Saccharomyces cerevisiae S288C: one gene and its partner. The protein of the gene in region 1 binds, or shares a complex with, the protein of each later gene. Each region holds a gene or a part of one and is shown in the gene's direction. Other genes may lie near its edges.

Region 1 (2,936 bases):
TCATCTTCATTTGGTGGAGAAGTATGAGAGTGATATTCGTTTAGACGTTTGAAATCAGAGGAAGACAATAGATCTTCGCAAAAAACAGTCGCGATGGAACCGAAATTTTTAACCCATTTATTTCTTGTTCGTAATTCATTTTGTTTGAACAACTCTAAATCTTGATTAAAATTTGAGATAAATGACAAAATTTGTTGGAACCATGATAGCCTACGATATTTTTCGATTAAATAAAGCCCATATATCAGAGGCAAATCTTCTACCTGTGCAAATTCTACCTCATATTTCTTGTATAGCTCTAAATCTTTATTACATTCATTCAATAATAGTCTTTTAATACCTAGGATTTCCATCTGGGTGAATGCTATGTTACCCAAAATGGCTACTGCATGCTTTTGTAGACTTTTTTTTAAATCTATTAGTTCTCCTATTTGTGAATACAGCGCTTGTGATATAGTGAAGAGAGTTTTCACTGATTCTTTTTTATCCTTTTCCAACATCACATTCATGCTTTTCAAAAATTCTTGACTATTGAATTCTTCTTCTTCTTTATCAAGTACATTTCTGCTTCTTGTTCGCATTTCTGATACCAGTACCTCAAAGCTCTCTGCCATTTGGTCTTCAAGCTCGAATTTAGATTCATTCGGGGTAAACATTTGCCGCAGTCGATCGATGTTTACTGTTATAATATCTCTAAAACTTGCATTTTCGTCAATTTCCCTCTTAATTTTATTCAGCTTACCATTGATTGAATGATTTAGAATCTTTACAGATTTTTCGTTCTCCAGGAGAGATTCAATATTAATGAACTTTTGTAAAGAATCACCCTCTAAAGCAGTCAACTTACTCAAGGTGTCATTGAAGCATTTTTCCCATTTTGAAGTCATACCATTGTCTACCAGCTGATTTAAAAATTGAACGTTTGAGTTATACAAACTTTCTACATCAAAGCAGTACAGCTTCAAATATTGTGAGCAAACGGTTAAGCCATCAAAAATACGCTTAATATGGGCTATTATGTCTGGTATGAGGCTCTTAAAATAATGTACATCTATTTCTAAAGCGCTTAGCCAACCAAGGTTCGTCGTCAGTAAGCTAGTTACGGAATGGTAATTTAAACGCGAAAGATCTACGTCTGCGTCCTCCAAAGGCGAGGGCATAGGCTTGATCATAATAGTATCGCTACCTTGGTATTGAGATATATGACTATTCTTAATTAAATATTCCAGAGTCTCTGTCAAGTCGTTGGAATTAGGGGAGTTCATGGGATTAGAATCCTTAGACGTTAAAAGATTTGTTGGTGTCGGTTTACTAACAAGTGAGAATAGTCGTCTGTCGTAAACGTAAAAATCATTTAGAGTAAAAGACCTATTAATAAGCAGCTCTTTAAACATCGACGGTTTTAGTTTGTTACCATAAGGTAGTAGAATCAGCAGCTGATCGGGAGGAATCTTCCATTTCCTAGCAATGAACTGTTTAAATTTGTCCAGGGAAACGAAAAAATCAACATTCGTAGTTATACATTCTCCAGATATTGCATTTATGATAGTGGCTGTTGTCTGCAGTGGTGTTATTTCTTGCTGGGTAGGTGCAGTGCTATATTCATCAGCGTCTGCCATGATGTATAAAAGAAAATAAAAGAAGTACTTTCCGAACAACAACAGTACACTAAAATAATCGTTGTTCAAAGGAGGACTACTTTGGTTCTGATTTGAGAAAATGGTACTCAAATAAGGGCATCGCTATTATATAGTTCCATTCCTACCAAGAAACCGGGTAGCCAAAAGCGATAAAAAGGCTCTCCATGGCAAGCCTTATTAAAAATAATAATCATGAAGAACAAAGTTTCACAAGAGATTACAAGATAAAAAAGCCACTACTACAGAAAAGGCGTTGGGTCAGGACATGGAAATAGTGTACAAGCCATTGGACATACGTAACGAAGAGCAGTTTGCTAGTATTAAAAAACTAATAGATGCGGATCTATCAGAGCCGTACTCGATATACGTATATAGGTATTTCTTGAACCAATGGCCCGAGTTAACGTACATTGCCGTTGACAACAAGAGTGGAACGCCTAACATACCCATTGGTTGCATAGTGTGTAAGATGGACCCGCATAGAAACGTGAGACTGAGAGGATATATAGGAATGCTAGCCGTAGAGTCCACATACCGCGGGCATGGCATAGCAAAGAAACTAGTGGAAATTGCCATAGATAAAATGCAAAGGGAACATTGCGATGAGATCATGTTAGAAACAGAGGTGGAAAATTCGGCGGCTCTAAACTTATATGAAGGAATGGGTTTCATCAGAATGAAACGGATGTTCCGCTACTACTTGAATGAAGGGGACGCCTTTAAACTGATATTGCCGTTGACTGAAAAGAGCTGCACTCGGTCTACGTTCCTAATGCATGGCCGGCTGGCCACATAAAAGGAAAAACACTCGATGATGATAAAATATATATTAATAATACAATTTTTTTATTTATTTATTTAATCATATGTATAGATATAGAAAAAGGGCAGTAGAGAAAAGAGGAATAGAAAGGAGAGAGATAATAAAGCAAGTTTCAAAAAGAACAAGAGGAAAAGAAATTAAATCACACAGACAAAAACGCGGGGAGGAAGTATCCCTAAGCCAAAGTGGCGTTATATAACTCCTTTTCGGATTCATATCTCTTCTTATCGGCCTGGGCCTTGGCCTCGTAAGGCTGCTTTTCCTCTGGCGTTAGAGCCTTCCACTTCTCACCCAACTTCTTGCCGACTTGTCCAAATGTGATATCTGGATTTTCAGAACGAACAATATCTCTGTTTTCGTTAGCGAAAAACATGTAGGCGGACAAAGCCCTCTTAGGGGCATTTGGGTCCTTCTTCTTTCTAGTGGTTCTCTTCTTAGGTTCTCTTGGGGTGACCATTGCGACTGTGCTTTAC
Region 2 (2,903 bases), on another chromosome or scaffold:
TTTACATTCTGCAATACAACACAACAACAAATATTAACTCAATTATTATTATTTATAATTACAAAAACAAAACAACAAGTTTGAGACTTTAATATCTTTTGATTACTAAAAACAACAAATTTCAAATGAACGATACGCTATCAAGCTTTTTAAATCGTAACGAGGCTTTAGGGCTTAATCCACCACATGGCCTGGATATGCACATTACCAAGAGAGGTTCGGATTGGTTATGGGCAGTGTTTGCAGTCTTTGGCTTTATATTGCTATGCTATGTTGTGATGTTCTTCATTGCGGAGAACAAGGGCTCCAGATTGACTAGATATGCCTTAGCTCCTGCATTTTTGATCACTTTCTTTGAATTTTTTGCTTTCTTCACTTATGCTTCTGATTTAGGTTGGACTGGTGTTCAAGCTGAATTTAACCACGTCAAGGTTAGCAAGTCTATCACAGGTGAAGTTCCCGGTATTAGACAAATCTTTTACTCGAAATATATTGCCTGGTTCTTGTCCTGGCCATGCCTTTTATTTTTAATCGAGTTAGCCGCTAGTACTACTGGTGAGAATGACGACATTTCCGCCTTGGATATGGTACATTCGCTGTTAATTCAAATCGTGGGTACCTTATTCTGGGTTGTTTCGCTATTAGTTGGTTCATTGATCAAGTCCACCTACAAGTGGGGTTATTACACCATTGGTGCTGTCGCTATGTTGGTTACCCAAGGTGTGATATGCCAACGTCAATTCTTCAATTTGAAAACTAGAGGGTTCAATGCACTTATGCTGTGTACCTGCATGGTAATCGTTTGGTTGTACTTTATCTGTTGGGGTCTAAGTGATGGTGGTAACCGTATTCAACCAGACGGTGAGGCTATCTTTTATGGTGTTTTGGATTTATGTGTATTTGCCATTTATCCATGTTACTTGCTAATTGCAGTCAGCCGTGATGGCAAATTGCCAAGGCTATCTTTGACAGGAGGATTCTCTCATCACCATGCTACGGACGATGTGGAAGATGCGGCTCCTGAAACAAAAGAAGCTGTTCCAGAGAGCCCAAGAGCATCTGGAGAGACTGCAATCCACGAACCCGAACCTGAAGCAGAGCAAGCTGTCGAAGATACTGCTTAGAGCAGCTTGAGATTGTCTTAATCATTCTTTGCTTAACACATTTCAAAACATCAGTTTTCTTCTTTTAATGTCACTAATGAAACTTAATATTTAATAATCTAATTTTAATTTCTTTATGAAATATGCAAAATAAATTATATACACAAACACAATAATTAATAATCTAATCTCATTTTTCCAAAATCAAGAAATGTTCTTACTGCTTCCATGCCTGAATAGTCTAATCGATAGTAGGCCATTTCAATTCTTTTTAGTTATATGGAGACGCAAACACCACTTTATTTTAGCGTACCCTACCAAAATTAAACGATAATATGGTATTTTTATTCTCATTTGTTACACTCTATTCTGTATCACTGGATACATTCGCGGTAACTTGTTTTATAAAGTGAGATGGGATTTATGACCATTAGATGCATATAAAAGCTTCCAAATAATAATAAGATATTGTGACTTTTGGTGAACTAGATACGCTTTGAAATTCTTCATTTGTAATGAAGCAGGATTCACATTCAATATTTTGTAGCTTACAATTGTGAATGTTGCGTTTTCCTACTTTTTCCTTTCATTTTTCAAAGCATCGAGCATTTTTTTCATTTCTTCCAAACTCATCCTTTGCCTTTCAGGATTGATAATACTATTGTGTCTTTCCGTACTTTCTACCAAGTTCAATAACTCGCATATGTTTTCTCTTTGAGATAATAACTGAAATGCTGTTAAATTTTTCAGCGTTACATTGTTGTAAGCTCTTTCAGGATTCATTGAGCTGATTGTGTTGTTCTGTGACATACGATATACTGATACTCTGTTCTAAATAACACAATCCTTTCGTTCTATCATAAAATTCAATGTTATAGGCTCATTTTGTGCATCTTATGTGGCGGATTAATTTTTTTTTTTTCAAAAAATATCTCGCGAAGTGCATGAGTTCTGACTATTTTTTAAATGCGATGATATCATTGATAGGGTGAAGATAGTCTTCAACAAACTTAGTAAGGGGCACCAAAGCGTCATGGACATCTTGAAACTGTCAGATTTTATTGGAAATACTTTAATAGTTTCCCTTACAGAAGATCGTATTTTAGTTGGAAGCTTGGTTGCTGTAGATGCCCAAATGAATTTGCTATTAGATCATGTTGAGGAACGTATGGGCTCCAGTAGTAGAATGATGGGCCTAGTCAGCGTCCCTAGGCGTTCCGTTAAGACCATAATGATTGATAAGCCTGTTCTGCAGGAGCTTACTGCGAATAAAGTTGAATTGATGGCTAATATTGTTTAGCGCATATGGTTCTAATAGTTTCCATAGTAACAATTGCTTGGCAAAAAAGGTCTGGCTTCGAAAGATATATAAACGAATATGAACTGGACTGAACTTAGATATTTTTTTCTGTATTAACTAAAATTTAGCGCAAATAATAACAATATCAACAATATCTGCAAGGAAGAACAATGAGCTGTACCACTGATAAGTTAATACAAAAGTACGACGCCCTTGTTAGGAAAACCACAGAACATAAATTCGCTAAGGAACTATGTGCCGGAACATTGAAGGACCGTAGTTTGTACATCTATTTATCACAAGATCTGCAATTTTTTGAAACTAGCTTAAGGTTGATATGTAAGACGACTTCTTTAGCACCAACTACTCACGCTTTAATAACCTTAGCCAAAAAGATTGGATTTTTTTCTAATGATGAAAACTCATACTTTCATGACTGCTTAGAATTATTGGCACCATCCCTCACCAAGGAAGAAAGAGATAATTTTGACAATAAAGCG

Evidence for each region. Proteins that work in one complex are often made in the same cells at the same time.
Region 2: the proteins of MAK3 (region 1) and MAK31 are in contact, whole or in part, in a crystal structure (PDB 6YGA), measured with the Saccharomyces cerevisiae proteins. Residues at the interface, in NP_015376.1 of Saccharomyces cerevisiae: Glu13 (codon at 1,942), Ser32 (codon at 1,999), Ile33 (codon at 2,002), Tyr34 (codon at 2,005), Arg37 (codon at 2,014); in NP_009948.1 of Saccharomyces cerevisiae: Ala30 (codon at 2,224), Val31 (codon at 2,227), Asp32 (codon at 2,230), Gln34 (codon at 2,236), Asn36 (codon at 2,242), Leu37 (codon at 2,245), Leu38 (codon at 2,248), Ser57 (codon at 2,305), Pro59 (codon at 2,311).

Annotation. Positions count from the first base shown.
Region 1 is NC_001148.4:663,055-665,990, forward strand, and holds MAK3 (peptide alpha-N-acetyltransferase MAK3), read left to right. Parts: upstream 1-1,905; coding exon 1,906-2,436; downstream 2,437-2,936. Other genes in the region: autophagy protein ATG11, read right to left, coding at 1-1,619; NHP6A (high-mobility group nucleosome-binding protein), read right to left, coding at 2,639-2,920; YPR053C (uncharacterized protein), read right to left, coding at 2,734-2,936.
Region 2 is NC_001135.5:154,330-157,232, reverse strand, and holds MAK31 (Mak31p), read left to right. Parts: upstream 1-2,136; coding exon 2,137-2,403; downstream 2,404-2,903. Other genes in the region: HSP30 (Hsp30p), read left to right, coding at 126-1,124; HTL1 (Htl1p), read right to left, coding at 1,677-1,913; PET18 (Pet18p), read left to right, coding at 2,574-2,903. UniProt on the Saccharomyces cerevisiae protein: Component of the NatC N-terminal acetyltransferase, which associates with the ribosome to acetylate nascent protein chains in a cotranslational manner.